2 linked regions of the Stegostoma tigrinum genome follow. Each later gene encodes a partner of the first gene's protein in a complex. Links are inferred from orthologs where the notes say so. Each region holds a gene or a part of one and is shown on either strand. Other genes may lie near its edges.

Evidence for each region.
Region 2: mms19 (region 1) and ciao1 share a complex: the UniProt entries of both Homo sapiens proteins name them as parts of the MMXD complex. The link is inferred for Stegostoma tigrinum from reciprocal best matches to the Homo sapiens genes MMS19 and CIAO1.

Annotation. Positions count from the first base shown.
Region 1 is NC_081373.1:12,313,732-12,324,263, forward strand, and holds the start of mms19 (MMS19 nucleotide excision repair protein homolog), read left to right. Parts: upstream 1-6,401; 5' UTR 6,402-6,420; coding exon 6,421-6,505; intron 6,506-10,532. Other genes in the region: ubtd1b (ubiquitin domain-containing protein 1), read right to left, coding at 3,998-4,088. UniProt on the Homo sapiens protein: Key component of the cytosolic iron-sulfur protein assembly (CIA) complex, a multiprotein complex that mediates the incorporation of iron-sulfur cluster into apoproteins specifically involved in DNA metabolism and genomic integrity.
Region 2 is NC_081393.1:10,327,612-10,338,715, reverse strand, and holds the start of ciao1 (probable cytosolic iron-sulfur protein assembly protein ciao1), read left to right. Parts: upstream 1-7,048; 5' UTR 7,049-7,102; coding exon 7,103-7,241; intron 7,242-7,339; coding exon 7,340-7,488; intron 7,489-8,921; coding exon 8,922-9,033; intron 9,034-10,265; coding exon 10,266-10,354; intron 10,355-10,544; coding exon 10,545-10,746; intron 10,747-11,104. Other genes in the region: tmem127 (transmembrane protein 127), read right to left, coding at 3,471-3,778, 5,198-5,362, 6,550-6,790. UniProt on the Homo sapiens protein: Key component of the cytosolic iron-sulfur protein assembly (CIA) complex, a multiprotein complex that mediates the incorporation of iron-sulfur cluster into extramitochondrial Fe/S proteins.

The sequences.
Region 1 (10,532 bases):
GGAAAAATACATTTCCATAAAAATGTCAAGTTTGCATTCAACGATAGAATTCACTACTTCCAAAATGAAAGCTTCAGAGCAATTCATTGAATTAGAAACGATTGACTAACATTTAAAGCCTTACTCAAGCATCAGCGGAGGCACAAAAAGACAGGATTCAGAGACAACAGAATGACTGACATTGTTATTTTACATCTCAAGTTTATAATTAACCTTCAAATGGAAACCTCTGTTCAACAACCATTTTCTAATTTTGAGACAAAGAAAAGGGCAAGCCAATCAGAATTTCGTATTCTGTAATGAATATTAGATGATGTTTTAAATTAACATGTGCTCTGCCAGTTGATGCATAGTACTGTACTTAAAGCTCAAATAGTGCAGAGCCTTCGTGTTCCCTTCCCCACACCATTATAACATGAATGAATCAAGCACTGGTGTGGTGCCCTGTTTCAGAAGAATTGCTTCACAACATCCCCTTGGAACGAATAGTCACTAGTCGGCACAACATCGTGGGCTGAAGGGCCTGTTCTGTGCTGTACTGTTCCACTTGTTAACACATCCTTTTTGGGTTTTTATGCATTAAGCATGGAATGCGTTGCCAGCAGCAGTTGTGGAAGCAAGGTCGTTGGGGTCATTTAAGAGACTGCTGGACATGCATATGGTCACAGAAATTTGAGGGTGCATACATGAGGATCAATGGTCGGCACAACATTGTGGGCTGAAGGGCCTGTTCTGTGCTGTACTGTTCTATGTTCTATGTTCTATGTTCTAACTAACTGAACATTGTTATGTCTAGTATAGATCATGAAAATTTTGATAAATTTACCATAGGCCCATGTTTCACATAAACTAAGCACCAGATTGACCTGCTCTATTGGGTAGCGACATTTGCAAAACTGAATTAACAGATTTGGTTAACAGTTATAGAATCAAAATCAATTTACAACAGAAGTTTTTTTCTGAGGTACAAAGTAGTCCTAAAAATTGGTGCTGTTCCCATTCATCCTACGGATAAACTACCAAACCATGACCGTTTACTGTTCCCAATCTGATCCAATACCAAAAAGATAGCTAGAAACAAACCAGATATGCTTCCATAGCTTCACCAAAAGCGATTCAGTTGAGTGTACAGTCCTAGACAGCCAAAAGACTAATTTATTGTTGATTTTCCATTCATGGAGTAGACAGCATATTAACGTAGATAAAATAAAAATAAACTTTTTCAAGACACTGCACACAAAAAAAACATTTCAAAAGCAGGTTTTAAATGTTTATTGCAAAGAAAAGAAGCAAAGTAGGGATTTGAAAGAATGGCATTTGGCAGAGTGAGATCACAGAATTAAAGACATTTACAGCATAGGAGATTATTGATTCAAAAAGATTGGACTGGCACATTGTTTGGGCCAGCATGCAAGCATAACAGCATTTGCTAAAAATTGGGTGAAATCTGGATACACAGACACATTTGTCATATCTAGTTTTATAAGAAGGAAAAGAGATGAATCAGTTAATAATGAAGGGCTGAAAGCTCTTTTTGCATTAGTCTTAACAGCCTGGGATAAGAAGCCTTTTCTTTCGTTTATTTCAAAGCTAGACTGTACAATTACAGTATCATCTATAATTAATGAAGCCAGTCACTAACATATCATTCACGATTATCTCCCCATGAACATAGTTGAATGCCTCCAGTGTGTATAAATGTGTATCATAACACTGCAAACTTCATACTTCTATACAAAGGAACCCAGTGAACTGCAGTTGTTGGAAATCAAGTTGCCGGGTTCTGATGAAGGGTCACTGGACCTGAAAATGTTAATTAGGCTCTCTCTACACAAACGCTGCCAGATGATTGCTGGAAAAACTCAATCATATTTTTATACTTCATTCCACTATACAAAAGAAATATCTCCTGTCAGACACGAACAGTGGTACAAATGCAACAAACTACAACGGTCGCTAAGAGATTTACGTACAAATTAAGCTTCCACACAATCTGTCATGGTGCTTACTGTTAGACTGTATCCTAATGTGCAAACTTTCAGAGTTAATTGCAAAACTAGGGTTGATCTGTTAGACCACATGGAGCTCTTGGTTCATCACTTTGGTGCAAATCACCCACCACAATCTTATACCAGACCGCTAGATTGGGAAATAATCCCCAATACGGTTGCTTTTGTCATGCAATATAGAAAGCAATATGTTCTGCTTCCTTACTGCAATCATTTTAAATTATTGTAGAAACATAAGATAAATAAGCATTGCAAAAACTGGAAAGAATATGCTAATATGTAAATGTTACAAATAAAGTTCGTAGAAGACATAATTATGAAAAAGCTCAATTAACAATTTGCAAAGGTATTCAACTTCAACTAGTACTAAATTTGAAGATATAAATCTGCACACAACTTCATTAGTCTTCAAAAGAAAATTGGAAATACATTAAGGATACTAAGTACTGGGCTATGGGAAAGAAAGACAATGTTTTTTTTTGCTATCATTCACTCAGTCAGCTCAGAGACCTCATTCAGTGTTGTTATTGTGACTATAGTCATGTATGTTGGAAATCATAGAACAACGCACAGAAAAATCACTGTCTGCTCTCTCCATGCAAACTCTTCACCAGAGTTAATTACCTCAACCCCCTCCCCTGCTTTTTCCTGAACCCGGCAATTATTTCCCTTTTCAGGCACTAATTACATTTGTGAACCCTAGACAAAGATAAACCGGTTGAATTTTCTGCAGAACATTGCCACTTCACTTATTATATGGAAATTCCTGCCAGGAACTGTTTTGGATAAATATTTTAGTTGACTATTCATCTGAAGCAGCTACAGGTAAATTAAGTGGGGTGTGTCCCTATAGACTTGTCCTCCATTGCAGGATGACGAAAACAGCTTGTGAAATAACTTAGTTACGAATACAGCTTATGAAATACCTGCGTGAATCACAAGCTCCTAACATTCACTTTACTAAATCTGATCATCTTATCTCAGACCCCCAAACTGTAGATCAATGAAAAACTGGGCAAAGTTCTGCTGGGATAGGAGAAGCAGAATGAGGTATTGATACCGGAGGTCTGTTCGCTAATGCCAGTCTACTCAAATCTGACCTTAAGTGTAGGTTAACATGAATATCAGCCACCCAGGTGGGCAAAACAAATAATTTTTCTGGTCGGTAAAGCAATCAACTTTGTTTTGAAAACAGTTAAATAAATTTCTTATGCAAATAAGATTGACATGAAAAATTAATTCCATAAAAAGAAAACACATTCCAGCTACAAAGTAAAATTTTAACCCTTACTATCAACATTACTGAAAATGCTTATTTATCCAAAAATGGCTTTTATTGAATTTGACTATTTCAGGGATAACCAGACTTGCTGGCAGTCACTCAAGCTGTGTGTCTAAGAATCGACCAGATATACAGCAGGTCTGCTGCTATCACAAGCAGCATTCAATCTCCCTGCCCACCTGGGTATAAAACTGGCATCCAGGAAGCAAAAACAGACCTTTGGAGACAAAGCTTTTACATGGGGCAGAATACAGAGGTCAGAGATGAGAGTGGGAAAGAAAGAGCTAGAACAAGTAATTTCACTGATACATATCCAAGGTAAGTTCACCTAAACTGAATGGCTACATTAAAACATCGAGCTTTTATCCTGAAAAAATGATAAATGTCTGAGTATCAGTATCAACACAGGCATAAATCTAACATTAGTAGATAGATGGGCCTTGCCATGTAGCAATGGAAGAAATATAAATAAGGAAGTAGCTTCCAAAAGCAGCGCGTGAACAGACTTCTCATTAATTTAGTGAACTACAATTTGGATGGCGATTCTACTAACACAACACTGACACGATGGAAAATATATTGCATTGCTGGAACTAAAATTATGACCAAAAGTGAAAAAAAGTCCTACGCCATTAGCCCCCTGCTGAGCACGCCCAATCGGAAACACTGGGCGCTATCATAATTTTACACTCTTCTGCTGCCTTACCTGTTTTTCTCCCATTGCCACTCCGTCTCCCTAAGCGATGATGTTGCTGCTGTTGTTGTTGCCGGCGTTGGGTCCCCACGCAGCCTCCCATCAATGATGCCCTTGACCCAGGTGCGTCTCACCCACTAACCGCAAACCCACCTGAAGTCTGGGAGAAACTCGCAGCAAGTCCCCTGGAGCTCATGAATTCATTTTCTTAAAGACTCGCCGTCTATCCCCTCCCAAAAAACGCACACAAAAGAAATCCCACGGTCCACCTTTAAGACCCACCAGTCCGTGCAAAGTTTGGATCCAAGATAATCCCTAACCCACCCCAAAACCCCAGTGCAAACACAGAACTACCCCTCCTCTCTCTCCCAAACCAAGTAACAGCCCGTAACCGGGGCAACCAGTCGGCCCTCACCTACTTTACCTGCTACTGCAAAACTACACCAACATCTCTCATCGCTTCACCAACCTTCCCATCTCAGCCAATAAGGCAGGCTCTCTCGCGCTTTCTCTCCCTCAATGTCACAAAGCAAAAGTTGGTCTAATCTGTGAACATACAATTCTGTCTAGCTTCACTCCATATCTTTCGGAAGCTGAACCAGCAGTGACACTCCACTACCAGCCTTTCCCCACCTGAGCGACGTTACTATCAATGTACACCCACCGGCCCAAAGCGCCTGCGCCGTTGCCTTACCCCGCCCGGTGCACGCTGGGTAACGCTGGCCTCCCACACCTGACGCGCGGCCCACCGCGCACGCGCACGGGCACCTGCCACGCCCCCCCCATCGGCGTACTCTTCCTTAGCAACCGGATGCCAGCCGTTACTAAGGCGACCCCCTGAAACTAGAAATGGGGGAAACTTTACTCTGTGCCATATAATAAGGACCATGGGGTAATCTGGGTAACATCAATTGTTGACTAATTCAGAGCTCCAGTCTAAAATCTTGAGTTCGAGTTTAAAAGATTAAAGCAATTTTGAAAGAATTAAATTTGATCAGGGGTCGCAAGAACTGCAGATGCTGGAGTCAGAGACAATACAGTATGGAGCTGGAGGAACAGATTTCTGATGAAGGGTCTAGGCCCGAAGCGTCAGCTTTTGTGCTCCCAAGATGCTGCTTGGCCTGCTGTGTTCATCCAGCTCCACACTTTGTTATCTTGGATTCTCCAGCATCTGCAGTTCCTATCATCTCAGGAAGAAGATTAGGCTAGTCAACTTCTCAAACCTGCTCTACTATACAATTATATGACAGTTTACCTTATTGTAATCTCAAATCCACATTCCCACCAACCCCAATAACTTTTCATTCCCTTGCTTAAAAAGTACTTGTCAAGGTATTTCTTAAAAATATTCAAAGACGGCATTTTCAGGAACAAAGTTCCATTGTTGCTATACAAATTCAAATAATCATCTCTTTAATTTATTTTTTAAAAATGACGATTTGATCAAATTTACAGACAATACAGTATGGAGCTGGAGGAACACAGGAGGTCAAGCAACATTAGAGGGGCAGGAAACTTTCTGATGAAGGATCTAGGCCCAAAATGTCAGCTTTCCTAAGATGCTGCTTGGCCTGCTGTGTTCATGCAGCTCTATACTTTGTTATCTCTACTCTTCTTCCTGATTTGTACATCATGTGCAGGGTTACATTGTGAAGGCAGAAGGGGAATCGGTTAAATTAAATACACATAGGAACTGCTGGAGAACCCCAGAAGGTTTGACAGCATCAGTGGAGACAGAAACATGGCTAATATTTTAAATACAGTGACTCTTTAAGGAACTAAAGAAGGAAGGAGTGGGTTTTATTCTGTTGCTGGGGTTGGGTTGGTGGGTTAAGGCAACCACAGGGGCAGGTCAGGGAAAGGTTAAGAAGATTTGAGACCAAAATTAGTATGGAACAAAATGCAAAATTTTTATTAATAGGCCAAATGGCCTCCTTTATCCTTTCATGGGATGTTGAGCATCACTGGTATTGCCTTTTTAAGAAGAAAACTGACAGTTCACCACATCATTGTGGCTCACATTTAGGTCAAATCAGGTAAGGATAACACATTTCCTTCTCTTTTGGATAACCCTTGTAGCAATATTTCCATTACACCACCACCTCCCTCTTCTGCATTGTAATTATTCTGTGATTTGAGTATTGTTGAAAAAAAAATCAACTTTGACAAAAGAAGAATTTTTATACTACTTCATGTCTGCTTTTTCAACAATACTGAAGCTTTGGACAGCCAAATAACTGCGTGAGTCCGTTAAAAATGTTTTATCTTCTACATTGAATTCAGTCTCTGTTCCCTTTGACTAACAGAATTAAAATCAAAGCTGTCAAGTGAAGGAGTTTCTCTGTGTAGTCTGCAGAGTAATGAGCATGTGATCTGTGCCATTTGCGGTCACGTGACATCCAGCTCGTGGCGCATGCGCGGTTGAGTGCAGCAGCATGGCCGCCGACATGAGGCTGTTAGGGCTGGTGGAGGAGTTTGTGAGTGGGTTGCAGGACGGGGCTGCCAAGGACCTAGCTACAGGTAGGAATGGAAGTGAATGGTGCTGTGTACAGCTATTGTTGTCTGGGAGGACGAGCTGCTGATGGAGGGGTCCCGGGCGAGGAAGTGGCGCCGCCCGTCTGGCCGTGTCACCCTGGTAACGGCGCACGGACCCCAGTTTCCTGACTGGAATCTGTATCTCTTCTGCGCTCGACAGCCCTCACGTAGGCCTCCCCTAGCTTTTCAGGAATCTGTTCAAGTAATAAGCTGAGTATTGAGCAATTCCCTAGGCAAAAAAATTTCAGTTTAAGGTTTGTCTGAAAAATGGCCAGTGTAATGTTTCAGCACTGCCAGAGTTTCTCGAGTTGACCATCAATTTTGGGAGGTTGGCATCTCTGAGCTAATGTTGAAGCCTAGAGATCTAAACTTTATATAGGATATAAAACTGTCTGACTCTTCTTTTGATCTTAACTCCAATTTAGTGTTTATTTACATGTAAGAACATTAAAAAATGCACGTGACCATACAAACCTTTGAGCCTTCACCACCATTCAGTAAGACTTTCTACCCTAACTCCATCCAACAGTACACCCCCCCGCCATGTTTATCTTTATTTTTTTTAGTATCCAAAAATCAATATTTCTCTGTTTTCAATAAAGCCAATTCTTAGAGCATCTTCTAATTTCTGAAATGGCCTACCCTTTATTCTGATAACAGTGATTCCCTTGGGGGAAACATCCTCCCAGAATATACCCTGTAAAACTCTTCAAGAACTTCAGGGTTCCAATAAGATTTTTCATTTTTTTAAACCCCAAAAAACATGGGCCAAGTTTACTGTATCTCTCCTCTTTGGACATTTTCCTCACTCCAGAAATCACATTTAATAAATCTTTGTTGCACTCCCTTGAATACAGATATATCTTTCGTTGAATAAGGAGACAGAATTGCCCTCACTGGTAACCTAGTGACAGTAATTTTGGGTTTTTAATATCTAAATGGATTGAGGCTCTCTTCTCTAAGTTTTTTTTGATTGTGATAAAGCAATGTCCTGATCCCATATTTCAGGCTGCATCTAAGTATGCAAGCTGATTCTTTCAAAGCCAGGTGGATAAAATTAGTTTTACTGAAATTCTGTTTTCTACATTTGACCCCATGATCCTTCCAGAATGTGTTCTTCTATGTTCCTTTGGACTCAGTACTGCAGTCCTTAATGCAGAATGGCCATGTTTAGAACCAGATTCTGAGGAACTGTTAATTTAGGGGAGCAAACTTTATTGGGAAAACAGAGAAAATTGGAGAGGAAAATAAACATTTGTCACTTTGAATGAGAAGCATTTAACAATTTTATAACCGTTCTTGCAATTTAGCTAGAAATACTAAAAATGGCATTTTTAAAATTTGTCTATTGGTAGTGAATTCATTTATTTGTTTTCGCTGACTTTCCCCATTATTCTCATTGAAAAAAAAAGCTATTATGTCAGATGGGTTATCGGTTTCAAAGTGTCAAATTACCTTTCATTAAAATTGATTGCAGGAACTTGATGCTTCTGGATCCAGCAAAACAGTCAATGATAGATAAGACCTTTGAATTCCAAATAATGGCATGCTTTACTGGAATTTCACAGATAGCAGTAATGTGGTATTGATTTGAAAATTATTGATTCACTTAACTTTCCTTGTGGCTGGGAGTTTAGGGCTCTTAAACACCGCATCCACCAGTGATTTCTGCCTTGGGGCAGCAATCTATTCTTAATGTTGCACTGATGTATGTTGCACTTCTTAAAAATGTGGATGTTATGAAATCTCAATTAAATAATAACGTTTGCGATTAGTAATATATACAGGATGGAGAAACTTAGATTACAAATTGGAAAAAAAACTTTCCCTTGTCACAGTCATCGTCATACCACACAGAAACAGACCATTCAGCCCAACCAGTCCATGCTGACCCTAGTCCCACCCGCTTGCGATTAGTCCATATCCGTCTTATTCATGGACTTATCTAAATGTCCTTTAAATATTGTAATTTTACCTACATCCATGAATTTCTCTGGCAGTTCATTCCAAACAAGAATAGCTCTCGGTGCCAAAAATGTTGCCCCTCTTTTTTTCTTAAACAATCTTTCTCCTCTCAGCAAAAGATATCCCCCCCCACTCCTTGTCTTGAAATCCCCCATCTCAAGGGAAAGACACCTACCATCACCTTTATGATTTTATAAGCTCCGATAAGGTCAACCCTCAACCACCTATGCTCCAGTAGAAACAGGGGTCCCAGCTTCTCCTTATAACTCACATGCTCCATTCCTGCTGAACTTTTTCTGACCTCTCTCTGGCTTAATAATATCCTTCCTATGACAAGGCAACCTGGACTGGACGCAGCACTCCAGAAGATGCCTCGCTTAACGCTCCCTCGTTATTTTGCCAGATCAAAAAAGTTTTGACAATGTAATTTTGCTTTTTTGTGAGCATTTCTTCTGTTGTTTGACTCTTGGCAGTGCTCCTACAAGAAGTTTGGAAGAAGAGTTATATTCAACTCAAAGTATTAGCTCCGTTCCATATTCCACAAATGCTGCCTGACCTGATTATTTTATATATTTGTTTTTTATTTCAAATTTATACCATTTGTAACAATATAGAATCCCTAGAGTGTGGGAACAGGCCATTCAGCTCAATGAGTCCACACCAACTCAGAAAGGAGCATTCCACCCAGATTCACCCCTCATCCCTGCACCCCCATCACCAATCCACCTAATTTAGCCACCCCTGGACACTATGGGTAATTTCGTATGGCCAATTCACCTGACCTGGACATCTCTAGACTGTGGGAGGAAACCCATGCAGACATGGAGTGTGCAAACTCCACACAGAGTTCCTCGGGGCTGGAATTAAACATGGGTCCCTGGTGCTGTGAAGCAGCAGTGCCAACCACTGAGCCACCCTGCCACCCTATTTCTGCAAGTCTTGTCTTTTCAAACTATAGTTCCAGGTTTACATACTGTTTTGCTAGCCCTCAATGTTAGTCACCACCTCCGTCCTTACTTAACTCTGGTATTGAGGTTAATTGCTGCATCTTTACAGTTGAGCTTGGTTCTGTGAATGTTATTGATTGACTGGCACAGTGAACAAAGCTGCTGTTCTTGAAAAAGTCTGTGGAATCTTTGATATTTGTCGCAACTGAGAGTTACGTGTTGATTGCATTGTGCACTCCGCTTCTAAGAGTACAACATTCATAGGAATATTTTGTTTGAAAACCTTTGAATTCGGAAGATATCTTTTCTACTTATTTGCAATCACAGATATATTCAGGAACAACAACAGATTTGATAAACACTTTTTGGTAGCTTTTACCCTGAGGAGGAACTTATTTGCGAGTTTGGGCTGATATGACTAAGCAGTGTTTTTCTTAGAAAGAAGCACACTTCCATTTCTAAAGAGACATAGAAACACAGAAAATAGGAGCAGGACTAGGTCTTTTGGCCCTTCAAGACTGATCCATCATTCAATACGAACATGCTGATCATCCCACTCAGGATCCTCCCTAACCCATGGATCATTTTCGCTGTAAGAAATATATCTAACTCTCCTTTAAAGCATTCAATGTTTATGCTTCCAGAACTTTCTGCAATTGTGAATTCCACAGGCTCATCACTCTCAAGTTTGAAGAAATTTCTCCACTTCTCAACTCTTAATGACCTACCATGTATTCTTGGACTGGGGCCCTTGGTTCTGGACTCCCAGGTCATTGGATATCTCTTCCTTTGGTTTGCCCTGTCTAGTCCTGTTAGAATTTTAAAGGTTTCTTTGCCCCGCCCCCCCTGCCCCGCCCCCAACTCTGGTGGATATAGTCCTGTCCTAACCTAACCAATCCAATCTCTCTTCATATGTCAGTTCTGCCATCCCAGGAATTAGTTTGTTAAACTTCTGTTGCACTCCTTCCACTGTCAGAATATCCTTCCTCTGATGAATATGCCAGAACAGCACAGAATGCTGCAGGTGTGGTCTCACCAAGGGCTGGTACAATTGCAGCAAGAAAGAGATCCCTGCTCCTGTGCTTGAATTCTTTCGCTAT
Region 2 (11,104 bases), on another chromosome or scaffold:
CACCTTGTCCCAGGCATTAGAGAAGACATGTCTGAATAAGTTGATGAAATAACTTGTTGATAAGTGCTCGATGCAGTTGCAATATCAAATGAGCTTTTATTCACAGATATGTGCTACTGTTAGAGTGGTAGTTTTGTTGTTTAGACAGGGGTTCACCTGCACATCAATCAACTTGGTCTGCTGTATCCGCTGCTCCCAGTATGACCTCCTCTACAGCAGTGAGACCAAGTGTAGATTCAGACCATTTTTGCAGAGCATCTGTGCTATCAAGGTGACAAATGACAACACCTGCTTTCCAACTATTTTAACTCCCCCTCCCACTACCTGGGTGACATGTCAATCCTGGGCCTTCTCCAGTGTCACAGTAGCACTACCTGCAAACTGGAGGAGCTCATCATATATTCCGCTTTGGGACCCTACAACCCAATGGCCCAAACATGGATTTTACCAGTTTTAAAATCTCCCCACCCTAGCCTCATTCCATGCCTGAGCCTCTGTCTCATCTGTACCACCTTGACCTGACAGAACCTGTCCATCTTCCCCCCCAACCTATCCACCCCTCCCATAATATTGACCAATTCTCACCACTCCCCTGTCACCATCCCACCCCTCCTCTATTTCTGAGCTACCTTCTCCCCTCCCCTTTACTGAAGAAGATTCCCAACCCGAAACGTCAGCTTTCCAGCTCCAAACTGTTTGATTTCAGCATCTGCAGTTTTTTGCTATCTCTTAGCATAGAAGCCGCTGTTGAATTTATTCTTTATACTCTTTTGTTTTGAAATATGGCTGATTTTCCATTCCATCAACGCATATAAATAATAGAAACCCAACTGACAAATTTTGTTGGGGGGGGGGGGGGGGGGAGGGGGGAGGAGGGAGGTTGGCTCTTCTACCAAGTCTTTCTTCTGAGCCATTGTTTGCAAGTTGCTTGAAGTGTTCAGGCAGGCAGATCAGGTGCCAGAACAGATACAGACACACCTTGCCAAACTGGACCAGAAAATGGTTACAGGGCTAATAACCTCAAACTGAGTGAGGAATAGAAGCTTGCCAATTATTTAAATTATGAGTGAAGCTGCAGGTGTTGAACTGGGATGAATTAAGTAAGAAGTTACATGACGCCAGGTTCTCATCCAACAAGTTTATTTGAAATCTCAGGCTTTCACAGCACTGCTCAGTCAGATGAACTTCACTTGGAGGAGCAGCAGTCTGAAAGCACATGATTTCACATAAACCTGTTGGACTACAACTTGGTGTCGTGTGACTTATGACCTTGTCCTACAAATTAAGTTTTGTTTTGTAGGTCGTTAATAAATGGGGATATTTACAAAAATGTGACGCAGCTAGCTTGTAATTCCATATTTATTAAAAGTCATCAGCTGTACAGCTGTACTAACGTTTGCACATCTTTATATCCTAATGCATTGATTTTGGCAGATAGCATGCTAAGGATTTGGCACCAATTCTCTGCATTTTATTGCCTGTCATCAGTCAGAGCTGATTATAATTGAGAAGATTAAGCCCCATTGTTCTGAGCTTGTTGGGAATAGTGCTGTAGCTTTCTGTAACGTTGATGGGGGAATACTTACTCAACTGCTGGCTGTTGCTTGATAAAATAAACAGTTGCCCAAGTCATTGCTGGAAGATTTTGGTTTGAGTCGAAGTTGGGTGGGGTTTAGGTGTTTCTATTGAATCTAATGTTACTCACCAAGGGTTGTTCTTGTTAGTTCACCTTCACATCATCTATCATAAAGTGCATTCATGCTCAAGATGCAAAGTCAATAAGAGATTATGTTAAAACAGAAACAGAGGTCCACAGGAAATGATTGAGGGTGTGAACGTTTCTACAAAATGAATGTGTATTTTTGGTTGACAATGCAGTTTAATTTTGGTCATTTACTACAACAGCATGCCTAAAAAATGACAACAGTTGGAACTGTTGCTCAGGCAGGGCATCTTGTTTCCTCAAATCTGAACTTAATGTGACTTGAGGAAGGGAGAGTACCTTGCCTAGGATAGTGTCTTCTAGATCCAAAGACAAGTTTAGATATCCCACTTCAGATGAGACACAATTCTCATTAAAACAAACTGTTACGATGACAGCTACAGTACCTCCAAGTGCAAATATGTTCTTTGCATGCTCTGAATCAGTAAAACACCAAAGACTCTATTTAAAATAATCCTTTGTTGATGATGTTACCATTCAACAGTGTAACCCTTCCACTTGTACCAAAAGGAGTATAACAGTCCAGCTGTGCCAATAGATGGATTTCAGTAAACCATGACATTATGGCACCTAATTTGGAATATCAAGTGTTGATATTTCTTTTGTCCATGTTCAGGTTAGGCACCAAATGGGGAAGTCTGGGATTTCTGTCATCAACTCCCTCTTCTTTGAAAGCTATCTCTGGGATACATTTTTGCTTACATATGACTAAATGAGACAAAATTTGCCCATATACGTTCATGTGGCAGTAATGACATCTTTATGAAGCCACACTAGGAATTTGTTTTGTGTTGTAGTATTCTAAAACCTGATTAGATTCTTCAGAATCTAATTTAGTCCTTTCAACTCCTCTTCCAATGTAATTAGGAGAGGGAACAAAAACTTCAAGCAAAGCAACCAAACTGAAGGTAAACAAATCCCAGTTGGTCAGTTCAGCAGCATGACAACTCCATAATGTGAACTGTAAATTTCCCTGCCCCCAAAAGATTTCTGAAAGACTCCCTTGATCTCTCTACTGAATAATTGAAAACTATTTCCTTTGTGTAAATGAGGCAAGCTGTAAAATGTGCAAGTGATTAAAGGCTAAGGTGCAAACAAGCAGATGCTTACTTTCTGACTAAGAAATCAGAGACAGTATCCTTTCGACTGCGGCAACTTGCAATACTGATTTATGGGCAGAAAATGTCCAAATCCTTTTGGAAGAACACTAACACGTTTTAGAATCAAATTGTTTTGACTAATTCAAATACTTCCAGAGCAATGTAATAACAAAAGCACATGATTGTAGTTTATTTAAAGCATTAAAAGTTTTAAAGTCTATAAAATGTTCAACTTTACAAATGTTCAAATACAGCCTTCCGAAGTGAAAAAGGTACTGCCTCTTTTACAAATATGGTCACTTGAGAAGTCAACTCCAACTTACTCAAAGGTCTCATCAACCCTCAACAGCACAAAAACATATTCGTAGGGTCTTGTGACTCAGGGGTAGTATATCTACCTCTGAGCTAGAACACCCAGGTTCTTGTATCACCTATCCTAGACAAGCACCATAACATGTCTGAACAAGTTGATTCACTGAAAATATAACCAACATTTTTGTAGTTGAGATGATCAGAGGATTCGGCCTCTAAGCAGGAAGGATGAGGCGGCGTTGGAGTGAAGTGCTTGAGGTTGAGAATTCCACTGAACATGTCTGAACAGTCAAGTGAAGTGAGACTTGAGATGAGAAAATAACGTGCCCTGAGATTCAGGGTGTGTAGGCAGGTGGAGGCTGGAACTGGTTGACAATTTCATATTCCACTGGATACGGTTCGTTCTCTTCCATTTCTGATAGCAGTTCCAGTGCTTGTTCCTCTTCCTCAGTTGGGTAGTGTCGAAGGAGGTTAGCAGCCGTCGCCAAAATGGATGCTCCTCCAGCACCTGCCACTAAGTAAAAGCTAACTGCAAAGGTCACATAGACACGGGAACCATGATATTTTTTGTGTTGCTGCTGAAGTGCGAGGATTAATTCTGAGGCCCAGTAGCAGAATCCAATCACCGTGGCACACTGCAGAACTGCAAACAACAAACAAAGACAGTGAGTGGAGCAAGGATGGTGGGTGCCAGAACAAAATCTGAACAGAACTCATGGCTAATTCATCCTTATCCACCAGGCTTCAACACCATAAGGTTTGTTGCCAGGATTCCAAACAGAATTGGAAGGTTATGCAATGAGATGCTCCTCGAAGTACAGACAATTTAGTGAACCAATCAGCAGGAAACATGGGAAACAACTGGGGTCTAACTGGAAGCCTAGCAAACAAAGCCATCATTCTCACCGGGAAAAAGGAGGAAGGAAGACGCATGTGGGGTAGCATGAACTGGAGTAGGAAAGGGTAGTGATGTGTATCAACAGAGTTTGTACATGCAAAGAGAGTGCTCACAAGTGGTTGGAAGGGGACAAGAGATGGAGTAAGGACACTAGGGTAAGACTGCAATCTTGTCTCCGAGTGAACTGAGGTGTAAACAGGTAAACGTTCACAGCGAAGTGGGTACACGGAAATCATTTTCTCCTTTTTTCAACTTCATACCCACAAAGCGGGTTGCAACAGCACAAGCTTAAATGTAACCTGCTCCTGATGCCCACTTTTCTCCTAACTCCACTGAAGTCAGCTGGAAGCATGCAATACCAAGTCTGAGTATTTTGGTTGATATTTGTTTTAAATTCAACCAAGCCCAAGCTCAATCTCCACTCCCTATCCTGATTCTCACCCCAAAAGCTGAACATCTGATGTTTGACACATTTTTACAGCCATTTTAAGTTATTTATTTGCATTATTCTTTGTTCGCTTGGAGTTTTTCTCTGAAATTCATGTTTACTGCAGTGCCAAATCACCCCTTATGAAGAAAGGGAACAACCCTGCACCAAACAATGGCAGAACAATTATGATTAGTCAGTTCTGAATAATAAACACAGGCAAACAGCTCTTTCACATAATTCATGGGACATGGGCATTCTCTGCTTCAGCCTGCATTTATTGCCCATCCCTAATTACTTAGAGGACATTAAGAGCAATTCTTCAGAACGTTTGGATGAAGAGTCACGGGACTTGAAACAGGAACTCTACTTTCTCCCACAAGCGCTACTGGACGTGAATTTCACCAGCAATTTTCATTTTTGTTTCAGATCTACAGCATCAACAGTCATGTTTCATTTAGAAAGACGGAAAAAATATGTACTCAAAAGAAAAAAAACAATATGCTAATGAAGGGCCTCCTGCTCATGCACTTCAGCAGCAGAGCTGAAGGAGGAAGTCACCAAGTACTTATGCACTTCATATTAATGCCACAAATGCTGATTCACAAAGTAGAAACATCTTCCTTCTGAGGATGTAATCATTTCAAAAGCACCTTGCATAATGGTGGTTTAAGGGTTAAAAATAAAGCCAGATCAAGATATCACATTTACAAACATCTAGTTTCACTTGGACATACCTGTGAGAATATGAGCAAAGGCATATCTACGAGTAATCTTCAAAGCTGGATGTTTTGGTCCAAATACATCAAGGAGAAAAGCAGACAAACTGCAAATAATCCCCAGGAAACAGAAGGCACCAATGACCCGCAACAGGAGCACAGTCTGATGGTTCATACAGTAATCTGGAGACCAAAAGATTGAGTGTCAGGCCGTTTCACCAAATAATCAACAATCAAGCAAAATTCAAGATCATTGAAACTAAAATAAAACAGAAGGTTTTTTTAAAAACCATGACTGTAACTTTCCACTAACTTCAACTCATTGTTTAACATCAGAGGGAAGAAAATCTTCCTCCTTATGTCAAGATTCATGTTGCAAATGGATTTCTGTGGCAGCGTTCTGGAAAAGGGTCAATGGACCCCAAATGGTCACACTGATTTTGCTCCACAGATGTGGCCAGACCTGCTGGAATTTTCCAGCAATTTATTTCTTATCAGTTGGTACTTTGTTGGTCAGACTCTTGCCTCTGAGTCAGAGGTTATGGGCTCAAGTCCACTGTTGGACTCACAACAAAGATTCACATTTCACTGCTCAATTGAGGGAGTATTGTGTGGTTTGACATGCCCTCTAGACACAATGGAGCCTCTCTCAGGTGGACAACACATATTACAAAGCACCATTTCAAACGACAAGTAATAAATCGCTCGACTTCTGACCAGTATCTGGTATTAAAGTATCACGTAGTTCAATGGTTAACACTGCTGCCTCACAGCACCAGGAGCTCTGGTTCAATTCCACCCTCGGGTGAATCTGTATGGACTTTACATTCTAACCAGGTTTGCCTGGCTTTTTTCCAACTGCTCCAGTTTCCTTTCACAATCCAAAAGATATGCAAGTTATTTGGATCAGCCATGCTAAATTGCCCGTAGTGACCAAGGATGTGCAGGCTACACGGATTAGCCATGGGAAATACAGGCTTGCAGGGATAAAGTTGCGGGGTTTGGATGGGATGTTCTTCGGAGGAACTGTATTGACTCGAGGCACCAAATGGCCCCCTCCCCCACAGGGTTTCGGACGATCTGGTCACTGGGACCTTATTTGCTGCGCTGCCGGATTTGGGACACCTCGTCGTCGTGAAATGCGCGTTTTTCCCTCGGTATCGTGGACAAGTAACAAGTCCCAATTTATCCTTCGAGTGTGGTCAGGGAATCTGACACAGTTACAATCTTGAGAAACTAAAATGTCCAACATCGAGGCAGTGAAAGAGGAAATACGGAATGCATTCCGACGATACCGAGCCGAAGCGTCAGCACCGCCCTCTCCTCTCGGTCTCCACCTACGCTCACATATTACCTTCCCAGTTCATTACCTTCCAGCAGGGCCGAGTCCAGGCGTCCCAGGACATCCGCAACACCGAGCTCCTGCCGCGGGCACATACCCCCGTGCGCGCGCAGCCAGGCCGGTTCCGCCAGCGCCGTGCACAGCGCAGTCACCGAAAGCGCGCCCGGCACCGCCGACGCCAAACTCCGCTCCGTTTGCTTCGGTAGAGCACCCCCAGCTCCGGAACGCCGGCGTGATCCTGACAGACCGGCTCCCGCAGGTCCATACATTGTCCTTTCCGGCCTGGGCCGCCACAAGAGAACAACGAACCACCGAAACTCCGATATCAGTAACGGACGACGACGACGACGACAATAAACGATTCCAGCGCAGCCATCAGTTTCGCATCCGTTTTCGATCCGGATGTGACGTCTGAATTGTTGGGCCAGACTGCGCCTTGGTGATTGGTGATATCTGCGCTTGATGGACGGGGGTCTTAGCCAATAGAAACTGGATACGGGCAAGACCTCTAACCAATCCGGAGCAGGAGTGGGTGTGGCGACGGCGCTTCTGGTTCGGGGGAGGTCACACGCGCGCCTGGGATGAAGTGGCGGTTGACGCTCGAGTCCCGCTTCTTGGCGCATCCCGACTCCCGGGCCTGGTATGTGGCCTGGAGCCCGAGCGGTACGCTGCTGGCTTCGTGTGGAGGCGATCGGGCAGTGCGTATCTGGGCCAGAGAAGGTGCGGGCGGCTTCCCGATTGATCTGCCGGGGCGGGGGGTACGAGGCCTGGACAACCGCATTTCATTCTCCCGACTCTTGTTTTTCCACACCCCCCAGGGGCCTCCTGGCTGTGCAAGTGCCTCCTGGAAGATGGGCACCAGCGGACCGTGCGGAAGGTCTCTTGGTCGCCCTGCGGTACCTACCTGGCTTCGGTCAGCTTCGACGCCACCACCTGCATCTGGAGGAAGAAGGAGGCCGCATTTGAGGTAGTGCACTCTGAACTCCCGCGATGGCTTCATGGTTTTTGTTGCTGGACTCTTCATCCAGAGACCCAGATAATGTTCTGGGGAGAGATAGTGGGAACTGCCGATGCTGGAGAATCTGAGATAACGTGGTGTGAAGCTGAATGAACATAACAGGCCAAGTAGCATCAGAGAAGCAGGAAAGTTTGACATTTCAGGTCGAGACCCGACACGAAACGTCAAACTTTCTTGCTCCTCTGATAATGTTCTGGGGACCTGGGTTGGAATCCCACCATGGCGGATGGTCGAGTTTGAATTCAATGTCTGGAATCAAGAATCTAATGATCGTGAATCCATTGTCGATTGTCAGGAAAAACCCATCTGGTCCGCTAACGTCCTTGGGGGAAGGAAACTGCCATCCTTTCCTGGTCTGGCATACGTGTGACTCCAGACCCCAACAATGTGGTTGACTCTTAACTGCCCACTGGGCAATTAGGGATGGGCAATAAATGCAGTCAAGCTAGTGATGCCCTTACCCTGTTCATGAATTTAAAAAAATCACTTTATTGGGGAATAGGTGTTGAGGACAGAATCTTGTCATGAAGGATCATTCATTTAAGACAGAAACGGAGGAATTTCTTCTCCCCTGGGCTAGTGAATTTGTGAAATTCTTCACTGCAGACAACTGTCAAGATTGGGTTATTAAACGTATTTGAGAATGAGAGACAGATCTTTAGTCAGTAAGAGAAGGATGTTGCGAGTGTTGGAGTCTTTGAGCTATCAGGAGATGCTAAATAGGCCGGAGCTGTTTTCCCTGGAATGTCAGAGGTTGAGGGGTGACCTTATTTATAGAAGTTTGTAAAAGTATGGATAGGGTGAACAGCTAAGGTTTTTTTACCCAAGGTTGGTGAGTCCAAAACTAGGGGGCATACGTTAAACATCAGAGGGGAAAGATTTAAAAGACCTTGGGGCAACTTCTTCATGCACAGGGTGGTGCGTGTACAGATTGAACTGCCAAATGAACTGGTGGAAGCTGGGTCAGTCACAACATTTATAAGGTGCCTGGATGGGTATATGAATAGGAAGGGTTTTGAGGGATATGGGCCAAATGCTGGTAAATAGGATTAGATTAATTTGGACTATCTGGCTGAGTTGGACTGAATGGTCTGTTTCCATGCTGTACAGCTTTTATCAGTCTGCAAGACGCAGATGAGCAGAACACCCTGCCAAACCCACTGCTATCGTTGCGTTCTGAAACGGCTTTTGGAAATAATGTTTTCAAAATAATGCTGGCGACATTTCTGGCAGCAGTTTTATTTATAACTTGAGTCTTGTGTCAGCTTAAAACATGAGATAAAGTTGTTAGTTACATTGGGTCTTCTATGAACTGTTTGAATGGAATGGACTCGGTATAAGTTTGAGCGTTTGTTTCTCAGGCCTAGTGTTTGTTTTCATAGCTTTTGACAACACTGGAAGGACACGAGAATGAAGTGAAATCTGTCGCCTGGGCTCCATCTGGCAATCTCCTTGCAACTTGCAGCCGGGATAAAAGTGTATGGGTTTGGGAAGGTGAGAAGATATTTTGCATAGAATACCCTTTGAAAATGCCATTCTGTAAAAAGCACCCGAGACACCTGTCTTAAATGGTGGTAGAAGCAGAAACCGCTTAATATTTTAAACAGTTGGTGGAGATGCACTTGAAGTTCTGAATCTTAAAAGCAGACTCAGCTGGCACAAACATGCTGGGCTGGAAAGCCTCTTTTATACTTGAAATTTGCATAATTCAATGAGATATGTCTTGGCTGTTGAGCCTTAAAAGTCACCCACGATATTGATAATTTGTATAAAGGGTGTATTCTTTCATGGGCTGTCCCAACTTGTTAAGACTCAATGACTGTGATTGGTGAACTAGTAAGAATTGCAGGTTTCCATAGCCAAAAATCATCCATCAAATTAATACACACATTAATAGTATTATGGTCACTGTTGCTCAGATCTGTTTTCAGTTCCATATTTTGTTAACTGAATTTAAATTTGACTGGCTGTCCTGTTCTAAACCCACATTCTGCAGAACGTTGACCTTGGCCTGTCAATTCCGATTGTAATGATGTCAACCCTCTGCCATCAACTCCTTTAAAGATCATGTATTGTCTCAATGATAACGAAGCACAAGACATAAAAAAATGTAGATGGGAGAAAAACGTTACAAAGGCACAATAAACCTTGAGTGGATGCAAGAGTCAAATAGAATCAGATTTCACATAAAAACTGAAAAAGCTGCGGATGCTGTAAATCAGGAACAAAAACAGAAGATGCTGGAAAAGCTTAGCTGATCTGGCAGCGTCTGCGGGGAAAAAAAATTCAGAGTTAACATTTCAGGGCTAGTCACTGGCTAAACCAAGACATAACTTCCATCCAGAGCACTGTTTAAACATGTAACTTCCCTTTTGCCCCAAAAGGTGTGGCCATTGCAAAACTTGATTTATGATGAGATTGAGTCTGAGATACTGAAGAATAATGTTCCAACTGCATTAACAGTTTCAGAAACTAATCAGGTGATGCAATAGACTCCAGGACCAGTTCCTTGTCCTGTTTCATCATGCAGATGTTATGACTTGTTTATTACTGATGGGGAAATTAACAGAAATGCTGTGTATGGTTTTATAAACCTGTTATAGGCCTGTCACAGACTCTCAGCTGTCTGAAATTGGTAGTGTACTGTGTTGAAGGATTACAGCTCAGTCCACGGAGTAAGGACTCTATATCAAAAACTATTGATGACATTCTTATTTGCCTTTTAGTGGATGAAGATGATGATTATGAGTGTGTAAGTGTACTGAATGCTCATACCCAGGATGTCAAACATGTAATTTGGCACCCAAATGGAGAGGTAAGAGTTCACAAGAACGACATCGTTGACATTTCCAACTGCTGTACTTAGTTATTTGCAATGTCCGTGTTTTCTGATTTAGATTGGATATGTTGTCTTATGAGCAAGATACTGACGTACCTTTTCAAAGACTTGACATAATAAGGACTGCACAAGTAATTGTGGATGTGTATTTTGAATTCAACACTAGCTCCTGGCTTCTGGAAGCTATGATAACAGCATTAAGCTGTATAAGGAGGAAGATGATGACTGGGTCTGTGTTAACACTCTTGAAGGTCATGAGTCTACAGTTTGGAGCATCGCATTTGATAAAACAGGAGAGCATTTGGTATCTTGCAGTGATGACAAAACTGTTAAAGTCTGGAAAGCATACAGGCCTGGAAATGAACAAGGTAGAGTAACTGAACTGAGCATGATGTTATAATTATCATATCATCTTGTGAAATGTTTAAATTTAAAACTCATGACACTTACCCTCAGAGAGAGGTGCAACTGCAGGGTGGAGTGCGTTATCTACCCCCTTCAACTTGATTTTGATTTAATCCCTTCCATGGCACCCAACCCCCTCCCTCACCTTTTGGTCACATTACACTGTTGTTTTTGGGCTTTGTCAGTAATCTGATTAATTGAGAAGATGGGTGATGAGTGGTGAGTAAAAGAAGCAATCAGTTGTGTGTAATAACACTTCAGCGTGGAAAGAACCTGACACCGGATACTCCATTGGACACCCAAATCCCCTGAGCTTCCAGA